Arabidopsis thaliana: one gene and its partners. The protein of the gene in region 4 interacts with the protein of the main gene of each other region in a pairwise test. Each region holds a gene or a part of one and is shown on either strand. Other genes may lie near its edges. The genes, in order: AT3G08530, LSP1, SPL11 and eIFiso4G2.

The links.
Region 1: the proteins of eIFiso4G2 (region 4) and AT3G08530 interact in a two-hybrid assay, tested with the Arabidopsis thaliana proteins (one large-scale study listed by BioGRID).
Region 2: the proteins of eIFiso4G2 (region 4) and LSP1 interact in a two-hybrid assay, tested with the Arabidopsis thaliana proteins (one large-scale study listed by BioGRID).
Region 3: the proteins of eIFiso4G2 (region 4) and SPL11 interact in a two-hybrid assay, tested with the Arabidopsis thaliana proteins (one large-scale study listed by BioGRID).

Annotation. Positions count from the first base shown.
Region 1 is NC_003074.8:2,591,196-2,598,795, reverse strand, and holds the start of AT3G08530 (Clathrin, heavy chain), read left to right. Parts: upstream 1-3,141; 5' UTR 3,142-3,384; coding exon 3,385-3,429; intron 3,430-3,781; coding exon 3,782-3,986; intron 3,987-4,092; coding exon 4,093-4,181; intron 4,182-4,298; coding exon 4,299-4,377; intron 4,378-4,452; coding exon 4,453-4,580; intron 4,581-4,682; coding exon 4,683-4,781; intron 4,782-4,861; coding exon 4,862-4,970; intron 4,971-5,077; coding exon 5,078-5,157; intron 5,158-5,240; coding exon 5,241-5,468; intron 5,469-5,554; coding exon 5,555-5,620; intron 5,621-5,747; coding exon 5,748-5,864; intron 5,865-5,957; coding exon 5,958-6,155; intron 6,156-6,238; coding exon 6,239-6,355; intron 6,356-6,451; coding exon 6,452-6,511; intron 6,512-6,703; coding exon 6,704-6,790; intron 6,791-6,915; coding exon 6,916-6,999; intron 7,000-7,087; coding exon 7,088-7,222; intron 7,223-7,310; coding exon 7,311-7,373; intron 7,374-7,453; coding exon 7,454-7,558; intron 7,559-7,600. Other genes in the region: KOB1 (elongation defective 1 protein / ELD1 protein), read right to left, coding at 21-162, 369-556, 657-701, 822-956, 1,046-1,154, 1,313-1,365, 1,503-1,652, 1,897-2,283.
Region 2 is NC_003076.8:13,821,142-13,828,333, forward strand, and holds LSP1 (Eukaryotic initiation factor 4E protein), read right to left. Parts: upstream 5,263-7,192; 5' UTR 5,191-5,262; coding exon 5,000-5,190; intron 4,840-4,999; coding exon 4,665-4,839; intron 4,567-4,664; coding exon 4,435-4,566; coding exon of another isoform or gene 4,429-4,434; exon of another isoform or gene 3,993-4,428; coding exon 3,927-3,992; intron 3,838-3,926; coding exon 3,805-3,837; 3' UTR 3,700-3,804; exon of another isoform or gene 3,480-3,699; intron 3,453-3,479; 3' UTR 3,283-3,452; downstream 1-3,282. UniProt on the Arabidopsis thaliana protein: Recognizes and binds the 7-methylguanosine-containing mRNA cap during an early step in the initiation of protein synthesis and facilitates ribosome binding by inducing the unwinding of the mRNAs secondary structures.
Region 3 is NC_003070.9:9,497,242-9,505,446, forward strand, and holds SPL11 (squamosa promoter-like 11), read left to right. Parts: upstream 1-3,652; 5' UTR 3,653-4,897; coding exon 4,898-5,559; intron 5,560-5,719; coding exon 5,720-5,841; intron 5,842-5,973; coding exon 5,974-6,225; intron 6,226-6,328; coding exon 6,329-6,474; 3' UTR 6,475-6,782; downstream 6,783-8,205. Other genes in the region: LCR (Galactose oxidase/kelch repeat superfamily protein), read left to right, coding at 1-616; AT1G27350 (Ribosome associated membrane protein RAMP4), read right to left, coding at 1,078-1,124, 1,387-1,543, 2,060-2,062. UniProt on the Arabidopsis thaliana protein: Trans-acting factor that binds specifically to the consensus nucleotide sequence 5'-TNCGTACAA-3'.
Region 4 is NC_003071.7:10,221,943-10,230,440, reverse strand, and holds eIFiso4G2 (MIF4G domain-containing protein / MA3 domain-containing protein), read left to right. Parts: upstream 1-1,742; 5' UTR 1,743-1,984; coding exon 1,985-2,131; intron 2,132-2,338; coding exon 2,339-2,398; intron 2,399-2,475; coding exon 2,476-2,577; intron 2,578-2,664; coding exon 2,665-2,796; intron 2,797-2,877; coding exon 2,878-2,975; intron 2,976-3,068; coding exon 3,069-3,156; intron 3,157-3,233; coding exon 3,234-3,827; intron 3,828-3,918; coding exon 3,919-4,941; 3' UTR 4,942-5,216; downstream 5,217-8,498. Other genes in the region: AT2G24060 (Translation initiation factor 3 protein), read right to left, coding at 18-70, 435-494, 581-620, 702-988; AT2G24040 (Low temperature and salt responsive protein family), read right to left, coding at 5,910-6,047, 6,324-6,413; AT2G24030 (zinc ion binding / nucleic acid binding protein), read left to right, coding at 8,431-8,498.

The DNA of each region.
Region 1 (7,600 bases), on a different chromosome or scaffold from region 4:
TTTTAAGAAAAGATGCTCACAGATCTGTCAAAGTCCAACATAAAGCATCTTTTCACGTCTTCTTTTGTAGGCTTACAGCCACATCGATCACGCCTGGATGTTAAGTCAGAAAATTTTGAATATGTGTAGTGTAGGACAGCAGCCTCCTCCAATTTGATCTCACTAGCAAGAATCATCAGGTTAGTATTTCCAAAAAAAAATTGGCTTCACAAACAGAAAAAATTAACTACGCTGTTAACCGGAACTCCACTCCACTGCTAACTCCTTTAAGATAGTTACATGGTTCTATATTAGAGTAACAACAAAGTCCTATCATGTTCCTCAACCAATAGAAAATTTAGTTATGTTTGAATATATGATAGACATACTTGGGAGTTTTCATGTAATTATGCCATCTGTGTGCTCCATTTGGACGAAGGTGATCTTGAACCCGAGCAACTGATTTGCCGTTACCATAAGTCAAAAAGTAATTTGGATTATTTCGTGTTGCTTCTTTGTACATTCCAAAATATGTATCTTTTGGAAGATGATCATAATTCTTCTTGAACATTGACACCTGCTTGCACCACACATATCTCAGAAGTAATACTAACATAACAAACAAATATTAATAAACCTACTCTCTTACGTAAAGACAGTAATAAACTGAATTATACCTCTGTAAAAGGATCCTTGATATCATCTCTTTCTACGCTGCTTTCCTAAACAACAAAATCCAAAAGCATTATTCATAGCAAAGGCCAGATCATAAAAGAAACTTTAGACTCACAAAACTAGCTGAAAATAAGCAATGCAAGAAGTGTGAATGAGATATCACTCACGTAATTTGGAAATATAACCATATCCACATTTGGAGGAACATCAAGCAGCAACCGTCTTAGTGAGTACTCACGAGCACCTGCTGGGTATATCAGCTCATCAGTGTCAAGATGAAGTATCCAATCCATGCCCGCATCCTGATATTTAGTAAGAACAAGAAAAATGAGAATGTAACATGAGACATGAGTCAAAACTGAACCAAATAAGGTCTAAAAGAAATACTTACCCTAGCCATGACAATAGCCATTTCCATGTTGAGAGATTGTTTGACAAATAACTCATAATTGCAGGGCTTATAAAAGAAAGACGAAAGCCAGGTCTCATTCCAAATCCGGCTGATGAAACAAAACAAAAAAGAATGACAGTAAAATGATCAGTAGTAGAAAATACAACAAAACAATGCTACAATTTCAGAATATACAACAAAACATGTGTTTAGTGCCTTGAAGAGCTATAGCTTTGTCGCAAATATGCAATGGGATAACTAACTAACCTCTTCGCTTGCTTCTCCTCAAGCTCTTTCGTCCTGTATATTACTTTAACACCCTGCAAGAGACATGGGACTACATTTATCGAAAACTGCATACCTTAAATACAAATTTATACCTACAGGACTAAAGAGCTAGAGATATACAGCCAAAACAAAATAAACAGTGGACGCGAAGAGAGGTAGTTCAACTCACAGGAATAGACTCGAGCACTTTAGAAATACTCGGAGTAGCAGCTTTCCCTTCAACGAAAAGGAAGAATGTTGAGACGCCTAGAACCTTATGGTAGAACATCCATGGTAGAATCTGATCCAATCCAGCTGATGTGCTAGTCGTGATACATATCTGTAAACAGTAACAATGTCAAGAATCATATACAACATGGAGCACAAAAAGTGAGGTGACTTTACAAAGACAGATCTGATCAAAAAATGAACTTTGGTATTTCTCAAATCTCTATAATCCAATAAAAAAAGAACAACTTGATATTTCAGATTAGACATTGTAGTAAGATTTAAGAAAAAAAAAAGGAATTTGGAAGTGTAGATCGATCCAAAGACTTGAAATCAGGGGAATTGAAAGTAGTAACCTTAGGCTTTAAGCTAGTATCAACACCAAACTTCCAATCAGCATAGTAAGGAAAAGAAGGAGAAGAGCTGCGAGCTAGATTTGAGCAGTCGGAGGAGGATTGGTGAGACTTTGGGGAGACAGATGAAACAGTCTCCATGCCGGGAAAGACCTCGTGATTGAGATCGGAGCCGCCAGGAACCGACGTAGAGGAACGAACAGAAGCAGAGGCAGGATCGGCGAGACCACCGCCTCGCCATTGGAGGATAAAGGCGAGACAAGCAAGGGAAACTGGAAGTAGAGTAAGGAGAAGGAGGAGCCTAGAGACGAATGAATGGTTTTGGGAAGAAGATGAAGATGAGGAAGAAGCAGATATTAGTGGAGCTCTGTGATGGTGAGTCGATTTCATGGTTAGCTCCACCACTTTGAAAAACAAAAAAAAGTTTCGGAGGAAGAAGACGAAGAAGAAGAAGAAAGACGCGATTCTGAGATCTTTCTTTTTATTTTATTTTCGTGTTTTGGTCGTCTGAGATCTCATCGGTAAAATTAAACTTTACTAACTAAATCTAATTGATTATCAATTCATCTCATTTTATTATGTATAAAAATTGGGAGATTTTCTTCCATTTTTTTTCTTAATCTTTCTCAACTGGATTTGAATTGATAGATTGGAAACATGTACCAACACAAAGAACAGAAGCAATTACACAGGGAGAAACAAATCTCCACACACTAAGCCACTATAAGCTAATAACAACAATAACCTATACAAAACAACAGAGCCATATAACAAAAAAAAAACCAATTCAACCAGGGGAAATGACTCTTTCATCACAGAAAACTGAATGGAACCAAGACGGATGACTTGATGCAACATACAATTGCAACCTGCAATCATCAGTGATACTCTATGACATAATATTCCTTCTTCTTTTGGATCAGATTAATTAAGTTTTGTTTCTAATTATTAAGTCATGACACTTCTTCCATTCTTAATTATTAAGTTTTTTTTTTCTTGTATCAAATCTTTAATTATTAAGTTTTTTAAAAAAAATTATTAAAAGTCATGACACTTCTTCCATTCTTAATTATTAAGTTTTTTTCTTGGATCAAATCTTAATTATTAAGTCATTTATTGTTGTTTCACCTAAGGTACCTTCATTTAAAAGCACCAATTAAAATATTTCACGTGTCGTCTCATTAGAAATTCGGATGCTTAGAGCCCAGTAAGGACCGATATGGGCCGGACCTGGTTATAAATGTAAGACTCTAATTGGATCGCTGTTCGTCATTACTTACCCATATATATTTGTTATTCTTCTTTTCTCAATTTTCTTTCTCTTTCCATCACCTTTCTCGTTCACTTGCTTCAGATCTGGCAGCGATTTCATTTCTTCTCCAGTCTTTCTCTCGTCTCGGTTCTATCTCCTGGCCATTGGCGGTCAGGACTTCTCAGCCGTATATTTGATTCCGTCCCCGGATTTACTCTTGCTGTGATCTGAGGTCAAACATGGCGGCTGCCAACGCCCCCATCACGATGAAGGAGGTCCTGACGGTGAGTTCTCCTTACTCTTCACTCTTATCTTTGAATATTTAGATGTGTATCTCCTGGAATCGACCGTGATTTTCTACGATTAAGCTCTGTTCAGTCTCTTGATTGATTGATTCCAGTTTCCTACTGATCTGAATTCTGCTCGATCGTTGTGTTACTCTCTAGTTTTTCCGGATCGCTTGTTTGGGAATGCATGTTTCTGATCAGATTTCTCTAACTATGCTCAGATCTGTGTTTCGTTAATATATCAATGCCGAATTTCAAGTTGTTGTCTGTAGCAATGTGCTTATGTACTCGGATCTCATAACTAAATAAATGAACTATTTGACGTAACGCTTCATCTTGATTTTTCCAGCTTCCGAGCATCGGGATCAATCAGCAATTCATCACGTTTACAAATGTTACTATGGAGTCTGACAAGTATATCTGTGTACGAGAGACGTCACCGCAAAACAGTGTTGTAATTATAGATATGAATATGCCGATGCAGCCTCTTAGGAGGCCTATTACTGCAGACTCTGCTCTTATGAACCCAAACTCGAAGATCCTTGCCTTGAAAGGTACTTGATTTTTTCCTTTGATCTAAAACCCATAACGGTTTCCTCGAATTCGTAGTTCATAATCCACTTATCTTGATGTTCACTTTTTACTTCAATATTTATGTAGCTCAAGTTCCAGGAACTACTCAGGATCATCTACAGATATTTAACATTGAAGCCAAAGCAAAGTTGAAATCACATCAGATGCCTGAGCAGGTGAGTGTTGATGCAAATATATTTGAACTCCATTATCGTTCCTGCTATACACTTCGTATAACTCTGAATTTTTCAGTCGGGTTTTTTTTTGGATAATAATGTTTCATGTTTTTACAGGTTGTCTTTTGGAAGTGGATTACACCAAAGATGTTGGGGCTGGTCACACAGAATTCCGTCTATCATTGGTCAATTGAAGGTTGTATATTTCAGCCTACTGTCATTTTCTTCATATCTTGTGTTTTCGTTTCTAATTTTCCTTCGGGTTTTATAGGTGATTCTGAGCCAGTTAAGATGTTTGATAGAACAGCCAATTTGGCCAACAATCAAATTATAAACTATAAGTGCTCTCCTAATGAGAAGTGGTTGGTTTTAATTGGAATTGCTCCTGGCTCTCCTGAGGTAAGTTTACTGCGCCACATATTAGGTCAAAAAAAGACATCAAAACTGCTTTCATGTTGTAGATTCTTGACTGATCTTGTCATTATTATCTGTTTTCTGTAGAGACAACAATTGGTAAAAGGAAATATGCAGCTTTTCTCTGTGGATCAACAGCGGAGTCAGGCCCTTGAGGCACATGCTGCATCGTTTGCGCAGTTTAAGGTAACGTCTTTGTTCTTTGGTGAGTTCATCTATGGTCTAATCTTGAACTGTAGTTTGACTTGCAACACTATTAATATTAGGTTCCTGGGAATGAGAATCCTTCTATTCTTATATCATTTGCAAGCAAGAGCTTTAATGCTGGGCAGATAACATCAAAGTTGCATGTCATTGAGCTTGGTGCCCAACCTGGTTAGCTCCCCGACGCAAAACTATATCTTCACTGTTATTTAATATAATTGGTTACGTTTTCTAGGTTGTATTCATCTGATCTTTAAAGGTTGGCGATTTTTTTGCAGGAAAACCATCATTTACAAAAAAACAAGCAGATCTCTTTTTTCCCCCTGATTTTGCTGATGATTTTCCTGTTGCCATGCAGGTTTGCTATTGCATTAGAATTTCAGTTATATGTGTAAGTAGTTAGTGACAATTTCTGGCACTAATTTCTCATTTTCCTGACAGGTCTCTCACAAATTTAACTTGATATATGTTATCACCAAACTTGGCCTGTTGTTTGTGTACGATCTAGAGACTGCTTCTGCTATCTACAGAAATCGGATTAGTCCAGACCCAATTTTCTTGACTTCTGAAGCTTCCTCAGTTGGGGGTTTCTATGCCATTAATAGGCGAGGACAAGTTCTTTTGGCTACAGTAAACGAGGCTACCATTATACCTTTTATTAGTGGCCAAGTATGCTAATCTTTTATGCTATTTTCCCGTTATAACCTACCCTTTTCATCATGTCATGCTAAGAAATCTATGCTTTTGTATCACAGTTGAACAATTTGGAGCTTGCTGTCAATCTTGCTAAAAGAGGAAACCTCCCAGGTGCAGAAAATCTGGTATGCGATGTTTATCATGGATCTGTTGTCTCGGTGAAGTAATTATATAGTTGTTAAATGGCAGCTTGAAGAAAAAAAATGTCATTTGGTATTGTGAAGTTTCTCATATTCTGCTCGGATGTTGTAGGTTGTCCAGCGGTTCCAGGAGTTGTTCGCTCAAACAAAGTACAAGGAGGCTGCTGAGCTTGCTGCTGAATCTCCTCAAGGAATTCTAAGGACACCTGATACAGTGGCCAAATTCCAGGTGTCTATTTCATATCCAAGCAACTATGTGTAAACATGTTTATTTATGATGAAATGTTGGTAACACCAATTTTTCAACTCTATAATTTTGCAGAGTGTTCCTGTACAAGCTGGACAAACTCCTCCATTGTTACAGTATTTTGGGACTCTTTTGACTAGAGGGAAACTCAATTCATATGAGTCACTGGAACTATCTCGGCTGGTTGTGAACCAAAACAAGAAGAACCTCCTGGAAAACTGGTTGGCAGAGGATAAACTAGAATGCAGTGAAGAACTTGGAGACCTTGTGAAGGTAATCTTGAAATGGACGATTTTATTCAAAATGTGTGATATGTCTCCTATGGTGTGTTGTGACGATAAACCTTTCTGTTCCAGACTGTGGATAATGATCTCGCTCTGAAAATATACATCAAAGCTCGGGCGACTCCAAAAGTTGTAGCAGCTTTTGCAGAAAGAAGGGAGTTTGACAAAATACTGATTTACTCAAAGCAGGTAAGCAATAAGATCTATAGTATAACCTCTTCTATTATTTTTACCCTAAAGTTCTGTTGTCTCATGAATTACCATTGTTTCATATTGTGACTTCAGGTTGGGTACACACCTGATTACCTGTTTCTTCTGCAAACCATACTCCGTACAGATCCTCAGGTTAGTGTGGTGCACTCTTGATACTTGCAACATACTAAACTATGAAAGGACTTTACTGAATATATGTGGCGTAAGCACTGGAAGAGTTATGAATCAACTAACTTGTTGAATAATTTGACCTGATGTTATATAGAATGAAGAATCTTTTTCCCACCGTATTAATATCAATAGTCTTTTAATTTTTATTTGCAGGGAGCAGTAAATTTTGCATTAATGATGTCTCAAATGGAAGGAGGTTCTCCAGTTGACTACAACACCATCACTGATCTTTTTCTTCAGGTAGGTCAATATATTCTGTATGCACCAATATTTGTAGCTCATTACTTGTTCTACTCCTATATACAGAATTGTATACAGTAGATGTAAATTATCATGTGCTTATTTGTCTATTTGTGCATATTCAGAGAAATCTGATCCGTGAAGCGACTTCTTTCCTTCTGGATGTGCTAAAGCCAAATTTACCTGAGCATGCTTTTCTGCAAACTAAGGTTGAAAATAGTTGCCACCTTGTATCTCTCCGTTTTTTTCTCTACTCACCTTCTTTCCCCAGACTGTTTAAATCATTTTTCAACACAGGTTCTGGAGATAAATTTGGTAACTTTTCCTAATGTGGCTGATGCGGTATTAGCAAATGGGATGTTCACCCACTATGACCGGCCTCGCATTGCTCAACTTTGTGAAAAGGCTGGACTTTATATCCAATCCTTGAAGGTTGGTACATGTTTTTTACCATTTTTACCGGCCAAATAGATTTATCATCTTCTCACCTTCCAACTTCTTTTCCTTTTGATTTGTGCAGCATTACTCAGAGTTACCTGATATAAAACGTGTAATTGTAAACACACATGCTATCGAGCCACAGGTAGTGCCTCTGAAATATATTTTGGTTGTTAAACCTACTAAGTGGTCAAGTTGTTGCATAACACTCTGCTCCATATGCAGGCTCTTGTTGAGTTTTTTGGCACTCTTTCTAGCGAGTGGGCTATGGAGTGCATGAAGGATCTGTTGCTGGTCAACCTGAGAGGCAATCTGCAGATAATTGTTCAGGCAAGTGGTGTATGATATGATGAATCTTATTGGTTATTTTGA
Region 2 (7,192 bases), on a different chromosome or scaffold from region 4:
CTTTTGGTTAAATATAGTAAAAATACATTTTCTATTAAGTAGCTTTTCTAAATATTTATAAGATGCTGATTTGATGGGATATTTATAGTATAATTTAGGAACAAATTTGGAGTTATTATGCCTACAATCTGGTAATTTTGACTTACAAACTTCTTAAAAATGAAAAAGTAATTTGATTTAAAAGTGAGACTATATTTGGCTATTTTTCTTATTTTAATCTCAACAATTAAATCAAAAGGAACTTTCAATATTAAATTGACCATATTGAGCTAACTAATTATAAAATAGATTTGATTAAGTGGTAATGAGGTGGCACTCTAGATGGAGGAGTTTATTTTGATTATATATAATTTCTATATTAAATAAAATATAATTTTTAATATTAAAGAGAATTGACCATATTAATAAGAAATTTAAAATAAATATATTATATATTCAGATTAGAAACAAAAGAAAATTATACTGAAAAATCATCTAGTCTCTTTGTAAGTTCCTTCCCTAAAGTGGTTGATCACTAAACCACCTTATTTCTTTTTTTCTTTTTCTTTTTTTTAGCAAGGAACCACCTTATTTCTTTCTTTCTTTTTTGACAGCAAAATACAATCATCCATTTAAGCTAGAAACCGACGGTTTCCTTCAGGTGAGAAGTAAGAACCAGTCCGGTGTAGAGGAAGCTTACATGAGAAAGATAGAATCGCGAGATCTTGCCTTTTTAGCGAAGTATTCATCGCGGACATTGTTTAACGTGGAACAAAAGATAGAGAATAAATGAGGAAACCCAAGTTTTAACATACTCAAATCTTCTAACTCCGAAGAAGAAAATGTGGGCCACTCATCGGGAGTGTCCAAGACCCGAATAAGCTCCTTGCAATCTATCTCAAAAGAAACATTGGAATGGATGATGACATGAGGGAACACATTGCCAAGAGAAGAGCTTCAAACTCTATGTGAAGGAGAGATAAACAATGGTGAATGCACTTTAAGCCAAGATTAGAGAAATGATGATCAAAACCAACAATCCATCCTAAACCACATAAGGAGGTTGTGTTTACTCATGACCCATGTACCTGGCATGTCAAGCAATCTCTGATAGGGGAACGAGCGACTAAGTCTTGGGTAGGTGGTAGCGAATCAATAATCTTTTCCCGGCTTCTTGCCACTCGTAAAGATTTCGCCTCTTAGCTTGCAAGCTGAATGGTGTCTGCATGGTGGACTTCTATGTTCCCAAAGACTTTGGAATTGCATGCTTTTCAAATAAACCATATAATCCAAGGAAAGTATTTTATACTTTCTTCGCTTCCGCCGAGTTCTTTCGTTCTCCAGAAGAGGTAATCTAAATTGTGTAAATCGAGGGTGCAAGGAAGACCTTATTTGTTCCTAAGTGGCTATCAAAAAGCACATGGTTTATGGTCTCATCACACATTCACAGTGAGGGCGCACCTTATTTGTTCCTAAGTGGCTATCAAAAAGTTGTTGGCAGGTAGCTAGACATCTCGTGGCAGTTTGCCAAAGAAAGTGTTTAATTTTTCTAAAGGATTGGATCGTCCATGAATGTTCATGTAGTGCCTTAACATTGGGTTACTAAAAGGGAGGCAAAATCTCCTCAAAGGCAAGCTTTTGTTGCCTTGAAGCCGGATCTGACAGTGTAATTGCCAGATTTGTATGGACCCAGATGTACGAGTCTCTCAAAAAGGCATGACTCAGATGTAGTCTAAGAATGTGGGGTATTTCTTATGTAGCTATCAATTCTTGAAGTTTTTCCTGCTTTCATGCCTCAATGATTGGGTCTATCAGCGATAACGTATAGGTTAGAATCTATTGATGTCAACTTACTTGTCATTGGGCACTCTAGTATGGTTGGAATCCATGGATCACTCCAGACTCTGGTGTCGAACCCTGAGCCAATGTTTTTCCTCAAGCTTGAGAGAAGGAGTGGTCTAGCCGCAAGCTTATTACGCCAACCATAGGAGGGTAGATATGACGGCTTGACGAGAAGGGGGCTCGAGTAGCAGAAGTACATTCCTCTTAGGACTCGCGCCACAAGAGAGTTTGGATATTTCATTAGTCTCCACAACTGTTTGGCAAGGAGGGCTAGATTAAATTCTTCTAACCTTCTGAAGCCCAATCCTCCTTTAGATTGTGGGAAGCAGAATTTGTCCCACACAACCCAATGGAGACCTCTACTCTCTTGGTTGTTGCTCCATCATAAGTTAGAAATTTCACTGTTGAGTTTGGAACAAATGTTTTTTGGTAAAAGGAAACTCGACATTACATACATTGGAAAGGCTTGTGCCACTGATTTGATAAGAACCTCTTTACCTCCCTTAGAGAGTAATTTTGACGACCAAGTATTTATTCGGTTTTTTAGACGATCTTGTACAAAAGCAAAAACTTATGCCTTGGGTCCATAGCTCTTTGCAAGGAGTCCTCAGTAGGTGCCCATACCTCCTTCTTGGTGGATACCTAATATCCTTTTAATATTTGCCTTCTTTTGAGGATGGACCTTGCTTCCGAACATAACTGAAGACTTGGAGAAGTTGATTAAAATTACCAGATTAAACAACGACTACATATCTACCAATGCAATAATAGAACCGTACGACTCCAACATAAGACAAAACACTAATATCCAGTTTGGAGAAAAAAATGATTAATTAAACCATATGAATCTGAAATTTGTTTTTCCAAAACTTGTTTAAGAACTTTTCATTGATGTAAATTGCAATCTCATAGTTTTGTTAACAACAAAATGAACTGTAAACCCAATTTCAGACTCGTGTTTGTTCAATCCTAAACATGTTGGTTTCTTTCCTGATTTGGCTATATCTTTTTATAATTAATAACAATGAGACTATGATAGTTTATTAATTAAAAAAATATACAATATATTAATCAGTTCGGGTAGCCGATTTGGAATTGAAGAAATGTATTTAGTATCGAGTATTAATTTATAAACATATACTAAAAATCTTAATCAAATTTTTTTCCTTAATCCAAAATCTCTAAGCTTTAAAAGTTCAGTAGCCAATTGACACATTGTTTGTATTTATAATTTCAATATGAGTCCATCCTAAACCTAAAATAGATTTAAGCAACTTGTAAGTGAATATTTAAATAATCAAAACGAATTGTTATAAGGTTTTTTGAACCATTTTAGAGGACCCAAAAACTGTGAATCGGAGATGGAAGATCCACAATTTGTAATCGACCATATCTCCTTGTTCAAGCAACTTTAAGATAAACTCAAAATGGTATAGACTCTTCCTGAAGAAGAAATCATAATCTCACGGCTATATAAAAAGAGGATAAAACTAATAAAAGACTAAACTACTGCTTAACTGCAACAGTATTAATTAAAAAGGTTCAAAATCACAGTACAAAAACAATTAATACAAAGGAAAATCGTGGAATCCTGCTCTAAATCAATTTTTTACCAGATTCTTGAAATTTACCTACAAAGAAATAAGATCTTGTAAGATTGTAAATTCATATAGTGATAATTACAAATGCGATAGACATGTACTAACACTATGTGATCCAACAAAATACAAAAGAGAAGCATTAGGGTGTTGCTAATAAGAGTATATTATCTCTGTATTTGTCTAACAAGTGGTGGTTTCGAAAGAGATTTATATAACTCAACTTAATTTATAACAAAAAATCATTTTAATGAAACAGAAAACTTTGTAGAGTTTACACCTCAAAGTGAATGTCCCTAAATGTCTCAGCTATTTGAGTAAACCGACCAAACAGTATCACAAAAAAAGCCATATTGCATCTTCCTCTGGCTTCACACTCGTTTCTTCAGACAGTGAACCGGCTTCTTCTGGAATCATCCTGCGTATAGACAAAGATATATTAAGCCACATGAGATCTAAAACATGTACAAAAAGATGATAGCTTCTTCTTTAGAGAAGTGTAATTACATGGTTATTGAAAGTTATCTTGTCGGTGACATCAAGTATCTCCTTCCACTTCTTCCCAATACCCATCTGAATTACAATAACAAACACCAAGTAATAAATTCATCAGATAGATTCATAAACCAATCTTAACATATTGCCAAGTTTTAAAACAGATGTCCATTGACAAAGATAGTTATGTTTATAATGCCAATGAACTATTATATTTACTATTATGTTTATAAGTCGCAACATATAACCTTAACATTAAAAACAACAATTTTACTATTGCAGAAGTATCTCAATCATCAGAAGCTGGTAAAACTCTCAAGGACAGGCAACAAAGCAAGTTAAGCATCAAAACCCACTAGCTATATAGTTCTCTGTGTAGCATTAAGAATTCTCGTAACGAGTGTTAGTATTTTCTAAAGTTTACCAAACTAAATTTGGATATCCCACCAACAATCATAATCATGAATAGCCAACACCAGCATCAATATAAACATAGTGAGAAGACAAACAAACATCATACCAGAACAGCTTCATTAGACTTCGTCCTAGTCCACAAGGAGAGCTTGTCTTGCTTCGACTGTGGACGGACACTAGCAACCACACCACAAATCTCATCTGCTTCATCAAATTGCTCTCCAATCAAAGCCATCAACTACATATCATAAGAAATAGAACCAGTCACCAAAACCACATATCATCTAACAAAACACAGAAGAGTAAAAGGTTAGGGTTAGGGTTAGAATGTAATACAGTTTCAAGCCAGCCTTTGTCTAAAGCTTCCTTCCTATTAGCAGTAACAACCCAAGTCCACTTTCCTCCATTAGCACACTCTGGATCTTCCCACTTTGGCTCAACACCAGCTTTGAACAAGTGAATTTCAGCATTCGCTGTCAATTTGCTAGTCTGAAATATAGTCTCGTGCAATCTAACAATAACCAAAAAATTAACATCCTTAGATTTTCGGATCCATACACATAGATCGAGATTCACAATAACCATAGCTTCTATACAAATCCCAGATTTAGAAGTTACAAAGCAAGGCATTGACAAATATTGAAATCAAAGGAGAAGAGAGAAAGACGAACCCCCAAAAATCTTCGACGGTGTCGAAAGTATAGGCTTTACGAAGAGAAGCTCCCCAGGCGGCGCCTTTCTTTGATTGGTTATCGAACCAGAAACTCCACTTTCTTTCGAGCTTGTGTGGTTGTTTCTCCGCCTCTGTCGCCGGTAATTCCGCCGCCGCCGGGAGAGGCTCGTTCACATCATCGGTCGCCATATTCTTCGCAGTTGAGTTTTCTTCTGAGACGGCTTTTGGTTACGAGAGAGGGACAGAGAGATTGTTTTTGAGATGTATTTTGGAATGGTTTAAGAAGTGAAAAGGGCTATTTCTGGACTCTATTGGGTCAATTTTGGGCCGGTCCATCAGAGCATTTAACTCTTCTTTTCTTCTTTTTTCTTTTTCTATTGTCTTTTGGTATTTAAAAAACAAGTAAAAATAAAAATCTCCAAAATTAATTGCAAGTGGAATCCCAATAGACAAGGGTTTAAAGTATTTTTTTTTACAACAAGGTGTTGTTAAAAAAAAAATAAAAAAAAATACACCAAGGTATGAGATCTAATTTCCAAATAGCGGAATTTCTTTCATATTGTCAATGCAAAATCTTAATTAGTAGTATCAAATTAGAAAATATTGTTTACATTAGAGGTTCTAGAGTAATAAAAGATATTTTATTATATAAAGCATGATTTTTAAATTTAGTAATTCATATGACTGTTACATGTGTTATTTTTGTAGATCTTAGATTTTGGTACATGTAATTTTATTATAAATTTTAAAATTTTTAATATAAAATAAGATAAATTAAAGAAACAAAATAGTTTTAAAAATGTAAATAAGATTTTTATATTATAGTTCCAAATATAAATTAAAAAAATAAAGTTATTATAATTCCTAATCTTTTTCCCCCAAAAACAAGAAAACTTACAAATCTCTGCTTGATAAACTCATATACTCTCACTCGCCGCCTAAACTTCGGCGACGTTTGTTTGATCGCCGTCGTTCTCTCTTAAGACGAGAAGAAGTGGCAAAAACTGTACATTCTGTATCAGTTACCGCATAAAATCCGGCTACTAATTATATAGAGGTGAGTATTTGAAATCTTTTTCCTTCTAAGATTATAATTAATTGTAAAATTCCTTTATGTATTATATTTAATATAATAAGATCGTTTCCTTAAATCCTTTTTAAAATTTTTAGGAAGACGGTAATCAATTTTCTTTTAGAATTAGTAATTTCAAATTAGAATTAGTAATTGATTTATAATTTCTTTCAGTAAGATACATATAATTATCTTCTTTACATTTTTATTTCTTTAAAATAATATGTAATCTTATATTTTCTATCTTTGTTTGATAAGATACATATAATTTTCTAATATTTATCTTCTTTCAATTTTTTAAAATTGTTTTATATAAGATATATTAATATTTTACTTTGGTTTTTATATTTATATTTTTACTCATTTAATAAAATTGATAATAAGATTACATGTGTCAAAATCTAAAATCGAAAACCATACTTTATATAATAAGATATAATAATAGACAATTCTCAAAAATACCACTAAGATAAGTTTTTTGTTCCAAAAGTAACACCATCAGTTTTTTTCGTAACAGTACCAGTAAAAGATACTTTTTTTGAAAATCCCACAAAACTAAAATTCACCTATAATTTAAACTTTGGGTCTGCATTTAATATTTTGTGTTTAAATTTTAGGGTTTAGGATTTAGTTTTGAAGGTTTAAAATCTTTAGAAATCATTTTTAGACTTTGTGGTATTTTTGTACTAAATCGTTTGTAGAGGCATTTTGGAAAGAAAAAAAAACTATTTATGGTTTTTTGGAACAAAAACTTAGCTTAATGCTATTTTAGTGTATTTCTCTATAATAATAAAACTATGTTACTTTTAGTGATAAACCTTCTATTTTTTTTTTTGAGACTCAATTCAAATCAGTTTGTTTAGCATGGTTGACAACAAAAAAGGGTGGAGTTAAAGCAATTTTTTATTTGCTAGTGCTTGTGTCAAGACCACCATCATTTTAACAAAAAAAAGAAGTAAAAACTTAATAGCTTTAATTTGCTCATAAGTAAAAGATAAGACATCTACATTCTTCTAATTTGATAATTGGCTCAATATGAAATGCTTAATGTATGTCAATTTTGGGCCGAACCACCATAACATTAACACTGCTTTTCTTTTCCAATTCTCTTTTGGTAAG
Region 3 (8,205 bases), on a different chromosome or scaffold from region 4:
GTATAAGGTCTTGTGGGTTGGATGTGAAGGAGAGTACGAAGTCTATGATTCCCTGAGTAATGTGTGGACCAAACGAGGGACCATCCCGTCCAACATAAAGCTCCCGGTGTTGCTCAACTTTAAGTCACAGCCAGTGGCTATCCACAGCACACTTTACTTCATGTTAACAGATCCCGAAGGGATATTGTCCTATGACATGGTCTCTGGGAAATGGAAACAGTTCATTATACCTGGCCCACCAGACCTGAGCGATCACACGCTGGCTGCGTGCGGAGAGCGGTTGATGCTGGTGGGTCTACTGACTAAAAACGCTGCCACTTGCGTTTGCATATGGGAGCTGCAGAAGATGACACTGTTGTGGAAGGAGGTTGACAGAATGCCAAACATATGGTGCTTGGAGTTTTACGGAAAGCACATTAGGATGAATTGTCTGGGCAACAAAGGTTGTCTGATATTATTGTCCTTGAGGTCCAGACAGATGAACCGTCTGATAACCTACAATGCTGTGACTAGGGAATGGACCAAGGTCCCTGGCTGCACCGTTCCTCGTGGGAGGAAAAGACTTTGGATCGCTTGCGGAACAGCGTTTCATCCCTCCCCTACAGCTAGGGCTTGATCATCTTTTCTCCTGGTACAATTTCCTTGGCCAGCTTTGAGGTTGTATTCGAACGGTTCACACACGGTTGGTTTCTTTTTGTTGTTTTATTTCGGTTTTGATTTTCGAGACTGTAATATACAAAACGTTCTGTATTGTAATAAATAACTTTGGGTTGTGTGGAACCTCTTAAACCTGTGAGCAAAGTTTCATAAAAAGTACACAAGTCCAGAAGGAACTATTTAACACTTTTTGTATTTGACGGACCAAGTGAACAGAAGCATAACAACAACAGCATCTAACTTGAAGAACATACTTAAGCGTTGGATACTTGGATTATAAAAAACTCAAATAATCTTCATTACATGATATAGTAAACAGAAAGTTGACACATTCTACAGTATAAGGAGAGAAAAAGAAAGGAGACAGAAGAAGATTCTACATTTTGAAAACTGCTTCTTCTAGCTTGACTGTGTTTTGGTTTATGCCATGCCTCCGCTAGTTGCAGTCCTAATGATCTGAAAGAGAGCTGTAACAAATCATGTAGAAGGTTAACAAATATAGTAACATACGCATACACAAAGTATAATCAAATGATTCAGATTCCAGACTATGCTCGTTACTGGAGTTATATATCATGGGACAAAGAAGAAATTGTAGAACTAACATCAATGTCCAAATCAAGAAGCGTGAAGCCTAACTTTAAGAAGCTATTTGGTGCCCTCAACATAGAGTAGTAAGTTCTGAGCAAGTAAAGCTAGGCATTGGAATAAGAAGAAGAGGTTACTCACATGATCCAATGACAACAAAGACAAAGAAGCCAAGAAGGATGGGACCAACGGGATAATCCTTGCCCTTCTTGGTGGTGGTCTCAGGAACAAATCCTCTCTTTAAAATGTTTTTGTCGAATTTCTCAATCTTCCTGTCTGCTAGTCTTTTTGAGGTTGTCTGCAACAATTTTTAAAATCAACCCCATTCAGTAATAAGAAGCATCATTATACATCTGCCTCTGCGCATTAGTAATGGTTATTTCCAGATCATGCAGCATATTACTAAAATCAGAATCTCTCTTCATTCAACAAAGCATCCAATTTGGGTACCAATTCATGTATTTGTGCAAATTAGCAGAGAAATTGGGCTAAGATCAGGTAAAATTCGGCCATGCATCGGAATCATAAGAACAATAGACACAATGCAGATAAGAACTCAGCTAATCTGTTCAAATTTCGAAAACAGATCCATCTTTTCCAACTAATCAATAGATTAAAATTTTCAATTTGGCATAACGTAAAGCTAATCCGACTCAAAATTCAAAATCATTGATAATACCACACATATTGACTCAGATCGGAGCTGCAAAGCATATCTTAAGCCAATCAAACATGAATTCAGATCCTCATTATGCAATCGACAAAACAAAACCATATTAAGTGTTATAGGCAAAGATCGAGATCGCATTCATACCATGATTACGCCGGAGAAGAAACACCAGGAAAGCTAATTAGAAATTGAAATGACGATCGCGAGCAGAAAATCAATTTCACCTCTCTCTTTTTTTTTTGGTTTTTTTTCTTAAGTTTTTGTCTCCTTGATTTCAATATATCTCTCTTTTTTACATCTGTGTTTCACCACCTAAAAAGAGATTCAGTCTTGCTATTCTCACAACGTACATCGTCACAGACCATCTATGATTGGGTATTGAGACGTGTGATATCTACGTGGCCGTCTATAATTGGGTCGTTATTTGAGATTTTAAGAGCTTGAGAAGGCTCGAGAATTGAGACTCGTCGGACAAAAAAACAGACGTGTCATGTCAACTACTGAAAATCTAGCGGACGTGTTTGAAAGTCAAAGCACGAACCTCTTTGGGGTCAGTATTTCCAAAACAACCATTTTAGATTTCTAATTTTCTACTAGTAGTAGTAACCTATAAACTTATAGAGAGCTTGGTTTTACGGACTGTTTTTCCTAGACCGTTCATGAACATTGTGTTCTTTGGTGGATAGATTTTGATTGGATATGAATACATGATCCGTGTTTTTAGTGAGAGTTTAAGGATTCGATTATTCGAAGCAGGCTCATAGAGTGTGGCATCTCAAACGATGCACGGTCTTCCACAAAAACGCACATATATGGTCTTGAAGACTCATAATATTCGGATTGATAATAGTTTTTCTTGAATATGATTGTTTTGGTGGATATGAAGAGGAATCTCAGAACATTGGATTTTCTTGGTGATGATATGATAATGGTATAGTTGGAAATACATATTTACTTCGTTTTGTAAAATGACAAAGCAAAATGTGTAAAAATCTCGTCCAACTGTAAAAACCCCATGACTATATTTTAGTATCACTTTCTCTTGACATCATCACAGCAAACAAGACTCACGTAATTCCACAAAAGCTAAAATTTGTGTCTATCAAAGAGCCATGTGTACTAAAAGTACAAATGAATGGAATGTACTATGTGTTATGTACTATGTACTAACGGTATATCGACCAAACTCATAATTTCATGTTTAGTAATGCTTTTAATTTAATTTAAAATATATAGTTCCCCTAAACTAATCTTAGTCAGTTCATCGTACGTCTAATAAATTTTCATTTAATTGTGATGTTCTCGGGGATGGACACTCTAAAATATTAGTATTAGTGTACTTGTGAAAGTAAAAGAGAGGTTTATAGATATTAAAACTTGCACGAATTGTACTAGGTATGAATGGTAGGTACTAGGTTCTCTAACAAATGAAAAGAGTTGCAGCCTTTTTGAATTAATGTTTTGAACATACAAATTCGATTTTTCAGCGGCTTTTTACATGTTTAATTAGCGACCGATAAGAATATGAAGAAAGATCCAACAATATAAATTTGACCTTTCTTACTTATAATGTTGTTACTTGCATTTTTTGTTTGTTTTACATCTAATTTTAGAGAGCCTAAAATTAGTTACAACTTACAAATATTTCATCATTTTGTTGTCCATATGATTGTACCTACATATTAGGCCTGAAATAAATAACCAATTTCGATATAGAATCGAATCTGTGTTGGTAAAAATATAATTCGTTTCATATACTAGTATTAGTTAAAAATTAGACACCAAAATAAATACGAAAGCCCAAAAAACAAAAAAAGGCAAAACAGTTGAAGAAAAATAGTGGGAAAGACTCCTCTGAGCTACTCTCATTCGATTTTCCTCAGGCGATTTTGGTGTATGGTCGTCCCTTTCACTGTATTTCTTAGTCAATAGCATCTTCTCCGATCATCGACGTCCGGAGATTTCTTCGGCCCTCTCATACTTGAGGTTTTGTACTCTTTACTCCCTCAAATTTTTCCAAAACTTGCGCTTCTTAGATTTGGGCGTCTTCGTTATTTATTGTAAAATTCAGCTTTATGCCTCTTAGACTAGTTATAGATCGACGAATCAGTAAAATTACCTTCAAGGTGAATGGTCTCTAGGTATAGAGAATTTGTCAAAATGACGAATTTGATTGAAACATTGGTAACTTTTTTTAATCTCTTCGTTAGTTAGTTGAACTTATTGGTTTGGGGGGACCATTTGCTTTCATCGAAAACCCTAGCTTGCGAGGGAGGGACCTTGATTGGGATCGTAACCTAACTTACTGTCACTTTTTTTATCGTTCAATCTTTATTGCTGCAGATAGGTCCACTAATGGCTGAGCTTGCTGCCGTTTTCTTTGACATATAGTTAATTCAATGTGTAAAGTTGTAAGCTTTTTAGTCTTTGGTTTTGAGGAAGTTAGTTAGGAACCTTCTCCAAGTACAAAGGAGGAATGGGTAGGGAAGGGTTTGCAATTACAATGTGTACATCGTGTTTCTTGACAAGTTACTGATAGATACTTTGGGGAAATTTTTGATTTGAGGAGTGTAGGACCAATTCAATAAATGCCACTTAGTTTTTGTGTGATGGAGATGAGAAGATGAAAAGTAATACCCTTCCTCTCTTGCCCTTTTTGCTGGTCTGGGTGAAACATAGAAAAGTTTCTCTTGCTCAAGTTAATGATAAAAGGGTGAGAGCAATAAACGCTGATAAGCCTTGTCTGGTCCTTGGAATTTTGAATTTTCTTTTTCTATCTTACTTATAGTATTGGTAGTTGAGGGTGTCGTCGATAAGGTATCTATTTGCCTAGCCAGAGTTATATATAGGATTGATTGTCTAGTCTTTTCTTATATGATTTTTGTTCTCATTTACTAATCAAAGTTCTGCAAACTTGTAGTTGTTGTAGGATTTGTTGCTCTGGCTCTGGTGGTAGGTCTATGAAATCAACCCATATCGTGAATGGACTGCAACATGGTATCTTCGTCCCAGTGGGATTGGGAGCATTTGATCATGTCCAATCCGTCAAGGACTGAAGATGACAGCAAACAGCTACCTACTGAGTGGGAAATTGAAAAAGGTGAAGGAATTGAATCTATAGTTCCACATTTCTCAGGCCTTGAGAGAGTCAGTAGTGGCTCTGCCACCAGCTTCTGGCACACTGCTGTATCGAAAAGCTCACAGTCGACCTCTATCAACTCATCATCTCCCGAAGCCAAACGATGCAAGCTTGCATCAGAAAGTTCCCCTGGAGATTCTTGCAGCAACATAGACTTTGTCCAGGTGAAGGCTCCCACAGCTCTCGAGGTATCCGTTGCCTCAGCTGAATCAGATCTTTGTTTAAAACTAGGAAAGCGGACATACTCTGAAGAATACTGGGGTAGAAACAATAATGAAATTTCAGCGGTTTCTATGAAGTTGTTAACTCCATCTGTTGTCGCTGGGAAATCCAAATTGTGTGGTCAGAGCATGCCAGTCCCGCGTTGCCAAATTGATGGCTGTGAACTGGATCTCTCATCTGCTAAGGGTTATCATCGTAAGCACAAAGTCTGCGAAAAGCATTCAAAGTGCCCAAAAGTTAGCGTGAGTGGCCTGGAACGTCGGTTCTGCCAACAGTGTAGCAGGTAAAACCGGTGGTTATGTTCTGGCCTCAATAATTCTTAAGTTGCATTCTCTTTAGATTTTACTGTAGAGTGCCCATTCAGTTTGATTGTGTCAAATCAACTTTTACATGCTCCTATTTATATTATACGGTAGAGAGTTGATCATGATTCTAATATTCAGGTTCCATGCTGTCTCTGAATTTGATGAGAAGAAACGAAGCTGCCGAAAACGTCTTTCTCATCATAATGCGAGGCGTCGTAAGCCACAAGGAGTATTTTCAATGAATCCCGAGAGGGTGTATGGTATGAACCTATACTGCAACTTGATGTAATCAATATTTCCTCAGGACTTTCCATCAGTCTCTACCACACGCACTCACACATACACACACAATTCATTCATGGAAATCTAATGTAACGTGTTTACTCCTGCAGATCGAAGACAGCATACAAATATGTTGTGGAATGGGGTGTCCCTTAACGCGAGATCTGAAGAAATGTATGAATGGGGTAATAACACTTATGATACAAAGCCTAGACAAACGGAAAAAAGCTTTACTCTGAGCTTCCAGAGAGGTAATGGCTCTGAGGACCAGCTGGTTGCTAGTAGCAGCCGTATGTTCTCTACATCTCAAACCTCAGGTGGGTTCCCAGCAGGAAAGTCCAAGTTTCAACTTCATGGCGAAGGTTGGTATATGCACTTCTTCACTAGTCCTTTAATATGTGGAGGGAGTAAATATCTGTTGATTTGATCTCTAGTCCTTAAACAATTGGTTAAATCTTTTGGCAGATGTGGGAGAATACTCAGGAGTCCTCCATGAATCTCAAGATATCCACCGTGCTCTCTCTCTTCTGTCAACCTCTTCGGATCCCCTGGCCCAACCACATGTGCAGCCATTTTCTCTACTCTGTTCATATGATGTTGTACCAAAATAGATGAGTAAGTAATGTGTAATTTGTAAACCTGTTACTCAGTTGGTGGATACTTTTCCAAACCTATGATAAAAACCTCGTCCTAGATCCCGTTAAATGCCAAACTTTCGGCTACTATAACTATGTTATCGTTATCATTATCATTGTTTAACACCCTAGTAACAAAGTCATTGTCAACAAAACTCTATAAACAGTAAATATATCTATATACCTCGGATAGGCTCTTCAATGTATCTCTCTGTATTGATAGCAAATCAAGGAGAAGCTGTAAGAGTAGGTAAATCTTTTCAACTAAGAAAGAGTTCCACTCTTTTTATGAACGTTAGCAACAGATGAAAATCAACAGAGTTTTAAGGATTTCTAAGGGTCATTATCAAAATCAGGCGCTTTGTAATTTTAGCATAAAAATCTATACAAAATCAGTGTTGTATCAACTTGGTATCAGAGTAGTTACTGTCTGATGGGTTAGGCTGCAGTAGAAGATAAGAGACATCACAGAAAAGAAAAAAACAATGAGAAGTGGGAAGAGAATAGAAGCCAAATTGAAAAGAGACACCAATTAATGATTGTGAAAGGCTTTTGAAGGAAAGAGACACCCATTCCATGATTGTTGAAAGATCAAAGAGTAAAAAGAAATAGAAAGTTGAAAGATGACAAGTTTTGGAGGTTTTAAGTACAAACCTATAGAGGGGACCAAATTACATATCAATTTCATATGGAGAGAGACTCCAAACGACAAAGCCTGATGAGTATGAAGGGGTGTAAATTAATAGAAAGAACCATGTGTCTATGGGATTGATGTTGAAGTCAAATAGAAAAAGAAGACAAGGATTGAAATTAATGTATCTTGTCACCATGTGGTCTGTGAGAAATTGTTGTCGCTTGCTATAGCAGTTATGAGGAACTTCTTGACAAAATGGAGGAGACAAAAGGCTAGGAACCAATACAAGAACATGCACAGTACAAAAATCAAGCAGAGATCATTTCTTAGTCAGATTTTATTTCTCAGACTTGAACTCCTCCAATATTGTGGGAAGCACCTTAAGGAGTGAAGTAGGAAAGAGCATGCTATAAAAGTGCCTACCAAGTGTTTCATAAGAGGAGGTGTCCTTGCAAGATTTTCTTAGTTGGTGAAACTTCCACAAAAGTGCTCATCGAGTGTATGTTGGTTCTCCATTCATTTTAACGGTTTTGTGTATTCCTCCTTCTGACTTTCCAAGTTTTGGGAATTCAACTTATTATTCAACTGCACTAACCAAACCCTGGAGCTCAATAGTGACACTCTTCCTTCTTGAGGAAGTAGAATGAATCTTTTTCCCCCAAACACCAGAAGAGAATGTTCATGTTTGCTGAAATGGTTGCCTCTAATACCACAAATCAAACTTTTTTCAGATTTTGTGCCTTTTAAAAAGCAGAAGTTGTCTTTCATAATTCTCACTTTCACTATGCAAAGAAGTTAAAAATAATATCAAAAACTTACAACATCAATAATCTCTGAAATGGTTTTAAAATAGTCGTAGACATGTTTGACAGAGTAACAAAGTTGTCATACCAACAGAATCCAGAAGGAAATTGACAATATGTTTGGAAATGTATAAGAAAAGCTGAGCTAACCGAGTGACTGGTTTAGCTTGAGCAATGGATGTTGCACATTTTTATTTTATTTGAAAACAAACTGTCAAACTCCATCGGATGATGCAACCCGACTTTTTATGGAGTGACTTCGCATTTTTT
Region 4 (8,498 bases):
CATATTTAGATACTCACCTGTAGTCCATCATTTTAACAACCGGAGGATCTGCATCAGGCGATAGTATAACCTGAAAACCAACACAATCAATCATTTATAGTTGGTTGGTTTAGTTACACTAGAGACTCGGTGTAGCTAAATTAATTTATGAAGTTCTGATTTGCTTAGTAAAGAGAATTTTATATATAACAATGTACATTCTCTTCTTCTTGAAGAAGAGAATAACATAAATCATTCACAACTCTTATCCAAATTCTGTTAATCTAATACGGTATCAGAGCATATCTTCTAATATTTGCTTTGATTCTAGTTCAATCTTCCATCTATTAGCTCAATTTCACTGATTCGAGTTCTGACTCATATCATACAAAAACCATTGCATATATCAAATAGCTAATGTCCACAAGTAAGAGCATTTCAATGGAAACACATACCAGATCAAGTTCAGCATCATCAGCCATTCGAACGGCTTCGTCTTTAGACACTAAACCAAGCTATAGAGAGCAAAACAAACTGGAAATTTATGAGTCCTATTATGCAGAATCAAAGCTACAATTCGAAGAATTTGAGTCACATTTACCATGTTTTGTTGCCCATCGATAAGCCTAACAGTAGCTGACCTACTCAAACATAGACATCATCATCAACAAATCGAATCAGAAAGAAATTTTCAATTCACGATTAGGCTTAAGAATCCTCACCTAATTGAGGAGATATCAAGAGCTTCATCAATTTCAGCTTCTTTCGGCCTACCTCTTCTATTGTCTCCAGAGAATCGATAACCTCCACCACCACCGCCGAAGCGGCAAGTGACGGCGAAAGCACGGCGAGGAGAAGGAGTGAGATTAGTGAAAGACAGTTCGGTTTTGGAGAGACGAAGACTACAGAGTTTGGAATCAACAGAGAAGAGTGAATGTGATGATACTGTTTTGGTTATTCCGGTGAAGACGGCGTTGAATCCAACGGTGCTGCTGGTAATCCCAGCCATGGCGCTTCTTCTTCACTCAGAGGTTTCAAACCATCACGAAGCTCTTATCCAGAAGAATAAAACGCAACGGAGAATGAAACTACGTCGTTTCCAATGTTTGGAAGCTAAACGTCAATGTTTTTATTAATGGGCTTATGGGCTTTAAAACAAAGGGCCCAATTACTTTTTAGTTTTTAGGATTTTTATTTTAACATCTAAACTAAAACCAGCATAATCACATTGAACATGGGAGAAATTTGAGGAATATCATGTTCCTAATTTTAAAGGGAGTAAAATAAAGTTATAATTTGCAAAGGAATCTATGCATATAAAGTTATTTTTTTATTTTTTAAGAAATTATAATCTAATAAACCAACTATATTTATTATTATACATATGTATATTTGTCAAATTTACTTAAAAATTCATAATTTTAGGAAACAAAAATAAATAACTTATAGATAGAGGTAATCTTTGAATTAACTAACTTAACTCATGCAAGAGCCATGCCAACAACACTTTTAATGATGCAACAAAGATTTTTATTTTTATAGTGATGCAATAAATACAAAATAATTATGTCTTCATTTCATAAGATTTTCCATCAATTATTTTTCCCAAAAATTAATTATTTTGTGTTGGAGATTATAGACAGAGGATACTTTGGTAATTAATTCTGTGAAAGTAGACTTGTATTTTGATAATGATGCATTAAAAACAATATTAAGTCTTTATTTCGTAAGATTTTTCCATCAATTCTTTTTCAATAAATAAAATTATTTTGATATACAGAATATTTTCGTAATTAACAATAACATTTACACGTGAGAAGAAGAAAAGGAAATTAGGGCAAACCACAGAACACAGCTTCAGCCAAAAAAAAAAAGGGAATCGAAGTGATTTTATCTTCTCCACCGTCAATACAGACACATATATATACACTATATACCTCTATCTATCTGCAAAACTTTTTTTTATTGAATCCTTCTAATTGCGAAAAAACAAGAGAATCGAGTAATGCAACAACAAGGTGAACCATCGGTTTTGAGTTTGAGACCCGGCGGTGGCGGCGGCAAAAGCAGGCTTTTCGTCCCTCGCTTTAGCTCCTCTTCCTCTTTTGATCTTACCAATGGCGGCTCCGAAGAAACCCCTTTTCCCGTCAAGGTAAATACATTGAAAAATCCTCTGTTTCTCTTCAATTTGGTTTCGCAATTCGAGTTTAAACGAGGATTGGATTCGTTTCCATGATTTTGAATCGAATTTTGTACAAAGTTTGAATTTTTAGGGTTGTTGAATTTGAATATGGACAAAGATTGATACTTTATGTTATGTAATTGAATCCTAAGCTCTTGACATTTTATGTTTTTGTAGAGAGAAAATTCTGGTGAACGTGTGAGGTTTTCCCGAGAAGAGATACTTCAGCACAGAGAGGTATTTAACTTAATTCTCTGATTCTGTTTTTGACTTTGTGAACCAAATCATTCACCTTTGTGTTTTCTTGATCGCAGTCTGTTCAAGTCTCTGATGAAATTCTTAGACGCTGTAAGGAAATCGCAGTTGAGCTTTTTGGCGAAGAGCAGAGTTGGGGGAATCATGCAGCCGAGAGTAAAGTAAGTGTGTGTCTGTGTGTGTGTGTGTAATCCTCCTGTTTTGGAATCTGTCTTTTAAACTTTCATTCTTGGTTTTGGTCTTATTAGATAACAAATCATACTCAGCATCGTCATACCGAGACTGATAACCGTGACTGGCATAGTCGTTCTCAGATTCCAACCTCTGGTAAAGAATGGTTAAGGGACGACCCTCGTGAAGCCAAAAGTACATGGCAAGGGGTAAGTTTTCGTCACTTGTTATGTGTTGGCATATCATTACTAGTTTTCTCTTCTTGCTAACATGATCATCTTGTGAAACAGTCTGGTCCTACCCCTGTGCTGATTAAAGCGGAGGTTCCGTGGTCAGCTAAAAGAGGAGCTCTTTCAGATAAAGATCGAGTCGTTAAGAGCGTGAAAGGGTATTGTCAACAACTAATACTATTCTTTTCAGCTTTTGTGTTTGAAGGTTGATGTGATGTATATTCTGACTGATTCTTTACAATTTTATGCAGTATTCTAAACAAGCTTACTCCGGAGAAGTACGAGCTTCTTAAAGGTCAATTGATTGACGCTGGCATCACTTCCGCAGATATCCTAAAGGTTTGTTTCAATTCCTGATCTCTATTGTTGTAGTTCTCTCTTTCATGGTATTGATTTGCTCTTACCTTTGATTGCAGGAAGTGATACAGCTAATTTTTGAGAATGCTATACTGCAGCCCACATTCTGCGAGATGTATGCTCTTCTGTGTTTTGATATTAACGGACAGCTACCTTCGTTTCCCTCTGAGGAACCCGGTGGGAAAGAAATAACCTTTAAAAGAGTGCTTTTGAATAATTGCCAAGAGGCATTTGAAGGTGCTGGCAAATTGAAGGAAGAGATCAGACAGATGACTAATCCAGACCAAGAAATGGAAAGAATGGATAAGGAGAAAATGGCAAAGCTCCGGACACTTGGAAATATCCGTCTGATTGGTGAACTTCTCAAGCAAAAGATGGTGCCTGAGAAGATAGTTCATCATATTGTTCAGGAGCTTTTAGGAGACGATACTAAAGCTTGCCCAGCAGAGGGAGATGTTGAAGCTCTCTGCCAATTTTTTATAACCATTGGGAAGCAACTTGATGACAGCCCACGATCTCGAGGTATTAATGACACGTACTTTGGTCGGTTGAAGGAGCTAGCAAGGCACCCTCAGCTAGAGCTGCGTCTCAGATTTATGGTCCAAAACGTTGTTGATCTTCGAGCTAATAAATGGGTACCAAGGCGTGAGGAGGTAAGATTTTATCATTCCATCTCAAATCTTTTAATAACAGTCTTTAGTTCTTTATCCGTGCTTACGTGTTGTTGTACTTATTCAATGGCAGGTGAAAGCGAAGAAAATCAATGAAATCCATTCTGAGGCAGAGAGAAATCTTGGGATGCGTCCGGGTGCAATGGCAAGTATGAGAAACAACAACAACAACCGCGCTGCGGTTTCTGGTGCAGCAGACGGTATGGGCTTGGGAAATATCCTTGGCCGTCCTGGTACTGGAGGAATGATGCCCGGCATGCCGGGAACTAGGGTGATGCCTATGGATGAAGACGGCTGGGAAATGGCACGGACCCGGTCCATGCCCAGAGGCAATAGACAAACAGTGCAGCAGCCGCGTTTTCAGCCACCTCCTGCTATCAACAAGTCACTCTCAGTCAACTCAAGGCTTCTTCCTCAGGGTAGCGGAGGTCTCCTCAATGGTGGTGGTAGGCCAAGCCCTCTTTTGCAAGGTAACGGTTCTAGCTCAGCTCCTCAAGCCTCTAAACCCATTCCAACTGTTGAGAAGCCGCAACCACGGTCTCAACCTCAGCCACAGCCACAGGCAGCTCCTCTGGCTAATAGCCTGAACGCAGGAGAGCTCGAGAGAAAAACCAAGTCGCTTCTTGAAGAGTATTTCAGTATTCGTTTAGTGGATGAGGCATTGCAATGCGTTGAGGAACTAAAATCTCCATCTTACCACCCGGAGCTCGTCAAGGAAACAATCTCGCTCGGTCTAGAGAAAAACCCACCATTGGTTGAACCAATTGCCAAACTCTTGAAACATCTGATCTCTAAGAATGTGCTGACATCTAAAGACTTAGGGGCAGGTTGTTTGCTCTACGGTTCCATGTTGGATGACATTGGAATCGATCTGCCAAAAGCACCAAACAGCTTCGGAGAGTTCTTAGGGGAGTTGGTCTCAGCTAAAGTCTTGGATTTCGAGCTGGTGAGAGATGTTCTGAAGAAGATGGAAGATGAGTGGTTCAGAAAAACCGTACTCAATGCAGTGATAAAGAGTGTTCGCGAGTGTCCATCGGGACAGTCTGTATTGGATTCGCAGGCGGTTGAAGTTGAGGCATGCCAGAGTTTGCTCTAAAAGTAAATTGGTTTGGCCGGCAAAGTCTTAAAATGTTTACTTGAGGAGTAGTCTGAATCATTTTTCTTATATAAGTTTTGAGTTAATATCACATACTTGGAAGATTTGGTTCAGTTTTGTTACATCTTTGTTTTTTTCGTTCATCTTGAGTTTTGAACATTTCAGGGTGAGGAGAAAAAAAAACACAATTTGTTGATTGTTATCTTATTCTTAGTGCCTACACAATTTTTGTCTTTGACATTAATAATCTAATTAATTGTGGGATGCCTTAATTCAATTTCAATCATCGTTGAAACTCACTCAGGGTAATGGTAAGTATGGTACTACCATTATATAAATATAGTATGTATTAGGACTAGGGTAACATATAACAATGAAGATTTGATTGTATTCCTCACTGTTGGAATTCTCTTCAATATCGAATGGACTAGGGTAAATATAGTAATCACTGTCACTATCTTCATCAAAAGACTCCACAACTTCTTCTTTCTTCTTTCCTGGAAACAACTTAGCAAAGCAAAACAGGAAAGAAGAGAAAAGAAGTGTGAAGTCTTCAAGTGATGCAATAGCTAACAATGGTTTTAAACTTTTCTTCCTGTTTTTGGTATTGTCGTCTTAGTCATCTTGAATTCAGAATCACTGTCAGTCTCTGTTTCTTCACCAAGTGTCTTTGTCTTCTTCACTGTTCAGAGAAAAAACAGTGTTTTCTTTTTCCTCTTCCACTTCAGTGACTGCTGAGCTAATTTCTTTAGCTGTATCATAGCGCGATAGATACTGACCTTTAATATGAGGGCTCCATAGGCAAATAGTAATTGGGCATTATGCATTCATCATTCATCAAAGTATATAGTAAAATAAACCACAATACCTGTGTCTTAAAAAAAAATGGTATTATTATCTCCAGGATACAAGTAAATTACACTTTAAAGTACAATATGTGTGCTCAAGAGCAAGAATCAATCAAGAGGTCAAGCAACATAGTAGATTGGGCGTCTGTATTCATCAAAATACTCATCGCGGTGCAAGAAACAAATTGCGTAAATTGCGTATATTATTCCTGGTAAGTAGCCTAAGCAAGTCAGTATCAAACAAATGAAGAACTCAACCTACAAGTTAAACCAAAAAAACATGAGTTAGGAAAAACAAAATTTAAAAATTTTATTTTTTAGTCCCTTAATTAGTGTTTCTTTTTAACAAAAACACCACAATTATATTTTCAGTAATTGATCTCCACATTCATCATATTGATTGGTTCCCGTAAACCGGAGTGCAACCAATTTCAATTTAAATAACCGTAATCAATTCAATTTCAACTACGGTTTCGATTTCTGAAATAAGAAGCTGTGAAAGTTCAGAGATCGATAGAGAGAGATGAAACTTACAGTGCAACAGCCATGCCTGAGACAAACTCCGACAGGAGGAAGAAGAATTGCGATGAAGATCTCGCAGCAAAGCTCGCAACTACTCGCCATTAATTTACGGAGATTAGATCAGATTTGATGACTTGAAAAAGAGAAGAAGAGAGAAGCTTCACGAAACAAACAACCACAAATATAGTAGGTGTTGTGTCCAGCGACGTGAATCTTAATAATTAAGATACAGAGTGTACCGCGAGATCTTTAACCGTTTATTTTGCGGGATTTATTATATCCTACGGTTCGTTGTTGATATCTTTTTGGGTATTGACGTATGACGTCTGTTTATTGGTTGACTCACGGGAGCTTTGGTATGGCTTCACTTACCATACTCTTTCATTATTTAATCTCATTCCAGCTGATAAATGATATTACTAGATGAGCTACATTGCATTATCTTGGATTATAATTGTGCCAAGAAAAATTTGAAATTTTTTTAGTTGTAAATACAGTTAAGATTATTAAGATATCATTAAATTTAACACATGCACAATTTAGTCATTTTGATATTAAATACATCGATGTGAATGTAAATTAACAAATACAAAAGAAAAACAAACAAAGTTACATCAAGATAGGGAATCCATATGAAGAACCAAATATATAAACAAACAACAGCCGGAAGCATCCTCTAGATTACAATATTTGGATGCATAATCGAGATGCACCATTCAAATAATAAAACGAATAACACCCTAGTTGTTCGAATATGAAAAGACATACTACACTTTTTAAAGAATATAGGACACTCCAATCATTATTAACTGAGTTTAAAATGAAAATATGTCATTGTTATGATGCGAGTTAAGCGGCTTGAACTAATCGCTAGAACTTATTATATATTTCTTCTGTTGCATGAAGTTTGATGTTGTAGGTTTTTTTTCACAAAAAATTGATGGTTTGTATAACATTATTATTACTTTTAGCTGTGATTAATAGAGAAAACAGAGAAATAGAATTAATATTATTAAACAAGACAAAATAATAATCAAAAAGTATAAAAAATACCTTTTTTAATTTGTGTAAAAAACCTACAATACCAAACTTATGAAACAGAGAGAATACTACTTTTTTCGGGACGCCAATGATTTTGCCGCTTAGCTTAATAGTAATCATATGTGAGAATTTTAATCGGTGATATATTGGTAGGCAGAAAATCATCTCCATAAATTAAAGATAATTGTTCAACCACCTAAAATACATTAACCTAAATTTTAAAAATCGTTTGAAATTCTCACTTCACAAGTCAAATCCCTAGTAAGTTAGTAATCTTATATAGACAAATCGAAAGTTGAACACGATTTTAAAATTTGGTTGAATGTTTCAAAGTATAGAATTTTTGTAAGATTTTGTTTTAAGAATCTGTTTGAATTTGAATAATGCGGGTCAAACCTCTACAAAGTTACAAAAAGATAAAGATTGAACAAAGTTTTTGAATTTGATTAAAGCCCTTGAAAGATTAAAAAAAATATTAGCATAATTACCATCTACAATACATTGACTAAAATTTAAAACTTGTTTTTGGTTCCACATAAACCAAATCCCTAGTAAATTAGTAACTTTACATAGAGAAATCCGCCAAAAATTGAACACGCATATAATGTAATAATTGTAATCTCTTAAAATATTAAAACTCCCTTTAACATAATTTTTTTAATCTAAAATACATTTATTTTAAATTTTTGTTTGAAACGCCACTACACAAATCAAATCCCTAATAAATTTGTAATTTTATATAGAAAAATCCGTCAAAGATTGATCACATAATGTAATTTAAAATTTTCAATAAAACAAGTTTTTAAGGAAAATAGAAATATATTTAAATCTTATCACAGGTCAAATCTCTAATAAATTAGTAACCAAATTTGCTAAGTATTGCATATGATTAAATTCCATATTGTTTTTAAAAAATCTCTTGATATTATCACAAGATTCACAACAGTGAAAGAAAAAAGGGAAAAAACAGAAAAAAAAAAGCTATCCCTGTTATTTAAGAAAAGTGACCGACCAGAAGGTAAAAGCGATTACAAACGATAACCCTCTTTCTCCGCTCTCTCTCCAAATTTTGAATTCGATGGAATTCAGATACAGAGCCATCGATAATAATCGCCCACCTCCTGCGACGGACACGACACCATCTCC